Caenorhabditis elegans: one gene and its partner. The protein of the gene in region 2 interacts with the protein of the main gene of each other region in a biochemical or structural test. Each region holds a gene or a part of one and is shown on either strand. Other genes may lie near its edges.

The links. The genes of interacting proteins can lie anywhere in the genome.
Region 1: the proteins of sop-2 (region 2) and smo-1 form a complex in vitro, tested with the Caenorhabditis elegans proteins (one study listed by BioGRID).

The regions. Positions count from the first base shown.
Region 1 is NC_003279.8:1,339,168-1,341,765, forward strand, and holds smo-1 (Small ubiquitin-related modifier), read left to right. Parts: upstream 1-1,510; 5' UTR 1,511-1,535; coding exon 1,536-1,601; intron 1,602-1,657; coding exon 1,658-1,758; intron 1,759-1,808; coding exon 1,809-1,917; 3' UTR 1,918-2,098; downstream 2,099-2,598. Other genes in the region: K12C11.7 (Copper transport protein), read left to right, coding at 109-203, 263-399, 464-543; K12C11.1 (Xaa-Pro dipeptidase), read right to left, coding at 2,188-2,469. UniProt on the Caenorhabditis elegans protein: Ubiquitin-like protein which can be covalently attached to target lysines as a monomer. Does not seem to be involved in protein degradation and may function as an antagonist of ubiquitin in the degradation process.
Region 2 is NC_003280.10:12,338,221-12,345,454, forward strand, and holds sop-2 (Polycomb protein sop-2), read left to right. Parts: upstream 1-1,723; 5' UTR 1,724-1,725; coding exon 1,726-1,815; intron 1,816-2,151; coding exon 2,152-2,218; intron 2,219-2,435; coding exon 2,436-2,931; intron 2,932-3,702; coding exon 3,703-4,048; intron 4,049-4,409; coding exon 4,410-5,285; intron 5,286-5,336; coding exon 5,337-5,399; intron 5,400-5,414; exon of another isoform or gene 5,415-5,468; intron 5,469-5,914; coding exon 5,915-6,190; 3' UTR 6,191-6,575; downstream 6,576-7,234. Other genes in the region: C44C11.6 (Transcriptional regulator), read left to right, coding at 6,614-6,646, 6,932-7,066. UniProt on the Caenorhabditis elegans protein: Polycomb group (PcG) protein. PcG proteins act by forming multiprotein complexes, which are required to maintain the transcriptionally repressive state of homeotic genes throughout development.

The sequences.
Region 1 (2,598 bases), on a different chromosome or scaffold from region 2:
CAAAATGGCCTAATTCGGCAAAAACTCTTCCATTTCAAATTATGAGGGAAGCCAGAAACCCGTGTTTTATTTTTCGGGAATTCCTGAATTCCAAAAAAAAAATTGTAGGCCGTCGATTGCTGTTGCTCAACGCCTGAAGGCATTTGGGAGATTCCGGAAGAGCCTGAGCCGTCGCCACGTGGCAAACTGGCATCGTTGGCTCCGTGAGTTGGCTTAAAATATTCCAGGATACGAAATTCCGAAAAAAGGTGATAAATTGCAGATTTACAATGGAATCCATCTCAAGTTGGAGACATTTTGCGTCTTCTTTTCTATTTTTTCTTCAAAATTTTGTGGATTATTCGTTGATGCTGGTAGCAATGACATATAATTATCCGCTATTTTTCTCGCTTTTAGCAGGTTTTATTTATTTTTTTTTTTTTTTGAATTTTTAGAAGAAAAGCTTAAAATTCGTAAATTTTAGGCCACGCCATCGGATATTTCTTCGTTGGCCCGTTGATGACGGTTAAGGAGGTCGAAAACACTGGAAATTGCTGTTCTTAATTGATTTCATAAATATGTATAAAGCATTAAATTTGAATATATTTTTAATAAAGAAAAATCGATATTCACATTAGAGCGCGCTTGCAATTTCACGATGAGACCTGACGATACCGCGCGAATTAAATCGATCGCTTTTTGGCCTAAAATGCTCATTAACAATTGTTTTTGTAGTTTTTAGCTTAAAATTATATTTTAAAATCCAGTTTGCCTTGTTACATATTGGAAAACGGTATTTTTAGAGTTTTTCCTCAAAAACCAAGCGAAAACCTTGAATTTTGTTCCGAAAACTTGTTCAAAACATTTTTTTCGTTGAAAACTCAAATAATTCACCAATTTATCTATTTTAGGCCGAAATCTCTTATTTTTTCAGTCCAAAAAGCACCAAATTTGGTCAAAAACCTGTCCAAAATCTACCGTACCCTCGTGTTGCTCGTGAAATGCGGTGCATTGTGTGCAAACACCGCGGCGTGAACATGCACACTCTGCAACGCGGGAAATCATTTCGAAAAGGTTTTTAGGCGCGTATTGCCCGATTTTTCGGCTCATTTCGTGTGTTTTCATTTATTTTTGCCTTCTTTCTCCGGTCGCGATGCGTTTAATTAAGTTTTGCTTCTAAATTTCGTCAATTTCGCTGAAAAACCACGTAGAAAACTTGATAGGAACTGGATATCCTAAAAAAAAGGATTTCCTTGAGAAAAATGGGTTTTTTTTCTGAATTTCGCAGTGATATTCTTGAAATTCTCAGCGCAGCGCTCCCCAGACAATCGATATTCCTAATTTTTCAAGCATCTTGTGGCTCAGCCAGCTGTTCTGTAATTATCGATTTTATTTGTTACAGCGTCTATATAAATACCCTAGAAAGTCATCATTCTGCACTCTTAATACCTTTCACTCGTGTGAGTTGCATTCTCCATAGCAACTCTACCTCTCTCCTTCTATCTCTTTTTCTCTTTTCAAATCTAATTTCGTTTCAGAGACTCCCGCTATAAACGATGGCCGATGATGCAGCTCAAGCAGGCGACAACGCCGAATACATCAAGATCAAGGTCGTTGGACAGGTAATTTGACTGGAAATTCGCCGCGAATTTGTTAATAATTCCCAAAAAAATTGCAGGACAGCAACGAAGTGCACTTCCGTGTAAAGTATGGAACCTCTATGGCCAAGCTGAAGAAGTCGTACGCTGACAGAACCGGTGTCGCCGTCAACAGTCTTCGGTGAGTTTTGGAAATCCGCGCCAATTCCTATCAACTTTAAATATTTGCAGTTTCCTCTTCGACGGACGTCGCATCAACGACGATGACACACCGAAGACGCTCGAGATGGAGGACGATGACGTCATCGAGGTCTACCAAGAGCAGCTGGGCGGATTCTAGTCCTCTACCTACACTCTAATCCGAAAACAAACACCCATCCATCCCTTTTCCACTGAGATACTCGGTTTCTCTGTCTCATTTAATCTATTTTCCACATTTCGAATCATATTATACAACCAAAAAAGTTTAAAATAACTTATTTATCTTACAAATAAACTCTTCGTTTTCGGAAAATCCCAAATTTTTAAAAATTAAATTTTATTTTACATGAAAAAATAACACAGTAATAGTAGTAGGAATGATGATAAATTAGAATCAGTAGACAAAAAATCACTTGGACAAGAAATCAGAGACACGAGATTCGATGACCTTCTCCGTCCATTCGCCTCCACTAGCCATGAAGTTCTCGATCTCCTCGACGGTTCGTGGAAGATCGCTCAGATTCTCGTTACCAGAAGCACGAATGATGACGTCATCCTCGATACGGACGCCGCCTGATCCGCGGTACTTGTCGATTTCGGATTTGACGAGGAATTCGCTCTTTTTCGGGTCGGCGAGCGCCTCGTTGAGCAGGAAATCAATGAAATAGCAGCCGGGTTCGATGGTGATTGCCTGGAAGATATCGATTTTTACGTGAAAATTCGGAAAAATTGAGGTTTTCTGGATTTTCCAGCTCCGCGGGGCTAATTTTTCTACTTTTCGATAAAATTTCGGCATTTTGCATGCTTTAACAGCTCAAAA
Region 2 (7,234 bases):
CCCTATTTTTATCGAAAGTTTATGAAAAAAAGAATATGAAACATTATTTTTCCTACGTTACTGGTGTCCCCCGGAAACTTGTGATTTTAAAAGCCTTGGCATCTATACAGGGGTGGGCCGCGAAAGATTTTTTCCGGCAAATCAGCAGATCGGCAAATTACCGGAATTGAAAATTTCCGGCAAATCGGCAAACCGGCTAATTGCCGATTTGCCGACTTTGCTGTAAATTTTCGGCAAATTGTGGGTTTGCACATTTTTTTTTGGAAATTTAAAAATTTCAAATTTGATCGGAAAAATTGCACTCATCCTAGGAATGCTCATACATCTATTTTTAGAAGTAGACAATTCTATGAAAATATCTAAAGAAAACGGGAAAACATTTCACAAAGGCACAGTTTTAAGGGTTTCCGTCTTACATAAAATTCCTCTAAACATTTCCGACAAATTGATAACCGGAAAACGGCAAATGGGCAAATTGCCGAAATTGAAGACTTCTGGCAAATCGGCAATTTACCGAAATGAAAACATCCGGCAAACCGGCAAACCGGCAGATTGCCGGATTTGAATATTTCCGGCAAATCTGCAAACCGGCACTTTGCTGAAAATAAAAATTTCCGGCAAATCGGCGAATTGCCGGATTTGAACATTACCGGCAAATCTGCAAACCGGCACTTTGCTGAAAATAAAAATTTCCGGCAAATCGGCACATTGCCGGATTTGAACATTACCGGCAAATCTGCAAACCGGCAATTTGCCGAATTTGTCGACGAAATATTTGCCGAACGGCAATTGCCGCCTTTCCCTGGTTTATACCTCCAAAAATTGAATAATCTGCTATAAGTTATGGTGATGATTGTTATAAACACATATAATTATATAATACACAAAATAATTGGAATGTATTTTTTTAATCCTTATACATATACATATATCCATAAGCCATCCTCTTTTTATATCTAATCAGGGCTTAACTTCTCTTGCACTATTCCCCTTCAATCTTCCTCTCTCCACATAATTCTTCGTCGTCATACAATTCCCCATCATCTCCTCACTCTTTTGCCCAATTGCCCCGCCCGTAAACCAATCATCGTTCGAGTCGACGAGACACTGTGGTGAAAGAAGAGGGTCGGGGAGGTGTGACTGTGAGTTTGAGTGGGGGTGAGCGTGCGCGCATCACACACTCTCCACTGCGACTCGCATTGATTGATTTGGTCACTCGCACTTTTTTGTTTGCTGTTTTCGTTTTTTATTTTTTTAAAATTATTTTAGTGTTTTGATCGAAAATATAATGTGAAAATTAAAGTATTTAAAATTTTATTTTAAAACCATTTTGGTTAAAATTTAGTTTTCTTTTCAAATTTAGGCTACCGGTATCTAAAAGTTTTCTGCGAATTTCTGTGAGATACGAGTTTTTATTGTGAAGATCGGGCATAACTTTTTGGAGTGTCTGAAAGTTGAATTGACAGTTTTTTTTTTAGAAAAGAAACATTTCCAGAATTTTATTGATTTTTTTGTGTAAAAAATCTACCTCTACTTATTTAAAAATTTATTTTCCTTGTGTAATCATTTTTGAAACAAAATCCCAAGTACCATACACCCCCCCCCCCCCCCCCCACTATACGAGCAATCGCGCTCCATCACGAATCTTGACGCTCCCCTCTCAGCGGGAGATTGTTTTATTGAATTTCACTGCAACATACATTTAAATTAATTTTTTCAAAAGAAATGAGTTCAAACTTGACCAGTAATGAGATGTCATCAACATCTGCAATTGTAGAGCCCCCGGAGGCTGTGAAGGGAAATGAAAGGGATAAGGTATAGTTTACAAATTTTTAAAAATAAAAATAATCGTTTCTCCACTACTTTTACACAAAACAAATGATTTATACCCAGCTCAATATTTTTTTAAACTATTTTTTATATTTTATCAAATGTTGCCCAGTTATTTTCCAATGAGATATAGGGGTTAAAAAAAAAGAAACAAATTTAGTAATTATCAACTTCAAAACCCTCTAACTTGCCGGAAAATAGAGATATGGAAAAATTGTTAACTAACACTTTGGAGTACCAAAATTTATCTACATTTTATTAGTTGACAATTTTTTGATAGCTAACCGTCCCAATAAGTTACAATAGTTTTAAAACTTTCAGTCCACTCGACGATCGACATCTCAAGTGGTTCGACCGGAAAAGCACGAAGTTGAAAATGCATTGGAAGGTGAGTATTTTTCAAATATATTATAGAAAAATTAATAATTGCAATTTTGGTGCTCAAGTTATAATATAAACTCCGTTTTGGCAAATTGCCAATTTTCAAAAAACCCCAATTTCCGAATTTCTCGGAAATTTACCAAAATTTTGTAGTTTTTTAAAGCTCTACTAGACCTTCAATTTTTGAAACTTGCTTACAATTAGTGAAAATAATAATTTTTCAGATCAATGCTCATCAAGCAGCTTACCAAAAGAAGCTCAATATTATGCAAAACTCGACAAAAAGCTAGAGGGCAAAGACCCCCGATCTCAGTTCTACGAAGCGGTACGCCTGTCCGCCGACATTTTTGCTCATAAATTCGAAAAAGCCGTGTGCTCCCGCCAAACGTTCGAGCCGACCAACTCCATCATCAAAGTGCTCAACACTGCCGAGGAGGAGATGCTCCACGAGAAGGTTGTCCCACTACCAGTCAGCTCAAAGCTCCAATACTATCTCAACCGGGGACGTTATGATACGATATTCGATCGTGATGAGCAATTGCAAAGGACTGCTGACCCGATGGCCGACGAGCCGGATCATGTGGAGAAGCGGGTGACGAGCATTTTGGAGCAAGCTTCTCGAGAGATGGAAGAAGGGGAAGTCGAGCCGGTGTTCTATGATGGATCTGATGAGGATCAGGAACTTCCGATTGATCTAGGAGCTATGAGAAATCTGCAAAGGTAGGCACTAGAGCTTCAGAACAAAAAATTAATTAGCAAATATATTATTCCCAAAAGCAAAAAGCCCAAAAAGCGCATACATTTAACCAATTTGTGGGTGGTTTTTTATACGCATAAAGCTACGTTCAGGCCGTTTTTCAGGCCGTTTTCAGGCGTTTAGAATTCTTGAACTAAGAAAAAAAATAGATATTAAAGAATGTCGTGGGATGATTGTTAATGATAACAAAACTCAATATTGCAATATGAAACGGACAATAAGCAATATCTGAGTCATGGCGGAAGGGAAAAAAGTGCGATATTTCGCACAACTATCATATGGCCTGGCTTCCAGATTTTGATCATATCAGTCTTTTCCGTGGTCTCATTACGGTTTGATCTACAAAAAATGTAGGAATTTTTTGCTCAAAAATATGTGACGTCAGCACGTTCTTAACGATACAAAATCGGTTGAGAACTCTGCGTCTCTTCTCCCGCATTTTTTGTAGATCTACGTAGATCAAAGTCTTTGAAATTTTTGAGCTTAAATTTCCCTACACTTTATCAAGATAACAAACGCGCCCTATTGCCAACTTCTCGCACACCGACGCCGCCAAGTTTGAAGGTGATAGGGGGGGAGAGTGAGAGGGTGCCAGAGATTCATGTAAACATGGAACGATGTATGTTTTCCCAGCAGTGTGTGACCTTGTGTGTATGTTTTTTGTCGCGCGTTATATCAATTTTTGTTAGCAATGTTTCAATTTTCTGTGATAACAATCAATCAACTGTTTTCAGAACCAACAAGTTCGCGGCTCGCTCGAGCAGAATGGCAGCTCGGAGGGGAGGACGGCCCGGCTATCGTGGTGCTTTCAGAGGTGCAGCTCGCGGAGCACCTTCTAGAAGACCTGCACCAGCTGCAGAGGTGGCTCCAGAGACTCCAGTAGCGGCTCCGATGGCTCCAGCGGCTCCAGCAGCTCCTGCAACACCTGAAGCAGCTCCGGCAGCAGAAGTTATGGACACATCAATTGCCACAGAGATGCCTCAAGAGTCGGCTGTGGATCTGTCAAATGTGTCGGCGGCTACCGAGATGGATACATCTAAAGAAGGAGAAGCGTCCAGACCGACTAGCGAGAAAAAAAAGGTAAGCTTTTTGAAGGCTCGTATCTCGGACGGTTTTTGTTTTTTCGAAAAATTCTTAACTAACAAAATAATTACCGCATTTTTTTACAATTTCGTAGTTGAGTATTTGTTGATAACTTAAATTGGAGCAATTTATAAGCTTTACTTTGGCAACTCGTAACTGAATCTCTAATGCATATTTTCTATTTATTTTTTATTTTAAATTATAGAAAAATTAATTCTAAACATTTTTGCAGTTTTCAAAATTTTTATAAGACAAAAACCAATTGAGATATAAACTTTCAAAGCTGAAATTTGCTCTAAAAATTGAAAAAAGGTTCTAAAAAAAAGGTTCGTGAACAAATTAAAATTTTTTCTCAAAGTTTCAGAAAATCCGCACAACCGAAATGGACCGTCTTATGAGCATGGACTTGGGACCCAAGGATGGTGGCCGAGTCGGCGAACTCGGCCACATGTGGCCCGAATCACGCCGTCGTCCTGCTGCACCCCTACCAGAGACACCTGCTGCTCAACCGAGAAAGTCTCTGCCAAGGCGAGCCGCCGAGAAGAAGAAGCCTGAAGATTCGGACGCCGCTGAGGAGCAGGAGGTTGAGATGGAGGTGGATAACGACGCGAGCACATCTACTCCAAGAAATGCACGTGGAGGTAGAGGTGGTGGCAATAGACGAGGATCGAGAAGAGGTCAGAAGAGGACATCTGGAGGATCGGGGAAGCTCGTGGAGCCAAAGAAAGAGCCGGTCGACGAGCCAGCCGAGAAAATCCCAAAAAGATCCGAGGCAGCTCCAGAAGTTCCAGCTACTGCCACAACCAAAGAAGCCCCACCATCCACCTCCAGCTCCCCACCGGATGCTCCAGCTACCCCAGCCACTCCAGCTTCATCCGACTCTCGGGATTCCCCACGAAAGATCCGGGCGATGATTTTCTCGCTTACCGGATCCCCACCAGAGTCTGAAACTCCGCCAGTTCTGCAGCAAGAGCAGGTGATCTCCACAGCAGCACCGACAGCCGGTCGCCATCCAAACATCATTCAGCAGGTCCCGCACATCAATCGGATCCCGCCACAACCGCTGAGACGTCTCACAGCTCCTCAGGCTCCACCAGCATCCCAGCCAGAAGAGCCTCCAGTTCAGCAGACTGTTCCGGTGGTTAAAGTCGAATTGGCTTCAGCTCCAGCTCCAATCGTCAGGGATCCACAGTCAACGGAGCCAGTTCCACCTGCGATGCCTACACTTGTCGAGGTAACCATTTTCAGAATATGACGACTAATTTTTAATTACAATTTTCTTCAGAACAACCACGAAGCTACGCTCATTTTGCCGCCCAACAAGACATCAGACTACACAAGGTGGAACGTAAGTTTTTTAAGGCTCAGGCTTAGGCTTAGGCTTAGGTGTAGGCTTAGGCTTAGGCGTAGGCTTAGGCTCTGGTTTGGGCTTAGGTTTCAGCTTAAGCATAGGCTCAGGCTCAAGTTCAGGTTCAGATCTAGGCTTAGGCTTAGGCTTAGTATTAGGCATAGGTTAGCCTTAGGCTCTCTCTCTCTCTCAGGTTTAGGCTCTGGTTTAAGCATAGGTTCAGGCTTAGTCTCAGGCTTAGCCTGAGGCTTAAGCGTAGGCTTAGACTTTTGGCTTAGGCTTAAGCTCAGGTTTAGGTTTTGGCTTAGACTTTGGCTCAGGCTTAAGCTCAGGTTTAGACTTAGGCTCAGGCTTAGACCTAGGCTTAGGCTCAGCATTAGGCTTAGGCTTAGGTTTAGGCTTAAGCTTAGGCTTAGGCTTAGGCTTAGGCTCAGGTTTAAGCATAGGTTCAGGCTTAGGCTCAGGCTTAGGCTCTGGATTTCGACTTAACACATTCTAAAACAATTATGCTTCAGGCGCAAGATCTCATCAACTGGGTTCGGCTTCTCATCACCAACAACGTGGATTCCACTATTGCAATTATGGTTCGCGAGGAGTTTGACGGAGAAACGCTGGCCTGTCTTGTGTTGGACGATGATTTTCGAAAAGAGGTACCAATTCCATATGGTCATTATAAGAAGATGAAGATCTATGGGACTGAGGTGCTCAACCATTATCGTACGGAAAAGTATCAAGCTGATTTGAGAAAGTTCCATGAGGAGTTGGCTGCCTGGAAGGCTCAGCAGCGTTAACTCTGTTAATTTTTTTATGTTAATTTTAATGTTAAAATTAATATTTTTGTTGTTTTTTCTGACATTTCAAGCTCTTGCATATTGACTCCTACCGCTTTACCCATTCCTCGTTACCTAATTTGGACCTACTTAGATGATAGAAAACTTTCAGCAGTTTTCTAATTTTTAATAATTTTAATTTTTTGTAAGTTGATTGCAATTTCTTTAACTATTAAATTCCCCTTTGATACTCACAGAGACATGTTTTATATTCTATAATCAATCGATTTTTGTCATAATACCCGTTTTACCCTTATTTTTTCTGTTCACGTTTGCCCTCATGATTAAATGTTTTTCGAGTTTTTTAAATGTTAATGACATTTTGTATATGAAAAGTTAAAAAATATTCATTTCTGGTTTCCACAAAGCGAACGATACACAAAAATGTTAAAGAACGCTGTGAATGCAATGAAAAATGTGAGATTTTTAATTAAAAAATCTCTTACCGGCTGAGCACACGTGGCTCAGTGGGTAACAGGCTTGACTGGCAAGCAGGAGGCCACTGGTTCAAGTCCACCGACCTCCACCGACGTCAGGAATCGAACCTGTGATCTTTTCCCTTAAAGCTGAGCCTCTTACCGGCTGAGCCACTGGCCGCACAGCACCGCAAAAAATTGTCGGCATGGCTCAGTGGGTAACGAGCTTGACTTGCAAACAGAAGGCCACTGGTTCGAGTCCTTGAACTGAAGTAAACATTTTCAGATCGGAAAATCTCGATCGAGAAGTGCAAGTCGCGAGAAGGTGCTCAAAGACTCGGCCGTACAAGCTTCACCATCATCCCGTGAAGCCGTCCAAGTCGTCAAGGCAATCGCCCAACCAGTCGTCGAACAAAAATAAATATTCTCACGTTTTTTATTACTCTAAAAGAAAATGGGTTCACAGGGCTATCAGTAGAGCGCATATCAGATTTTTGGTCGAAATTTGAGAGAGATTTGTACTCGGGATAACGGGCACAACGGGTAGGGTGGTAGGATATGGAATAAATATTTTGTTGGAACTGTACAA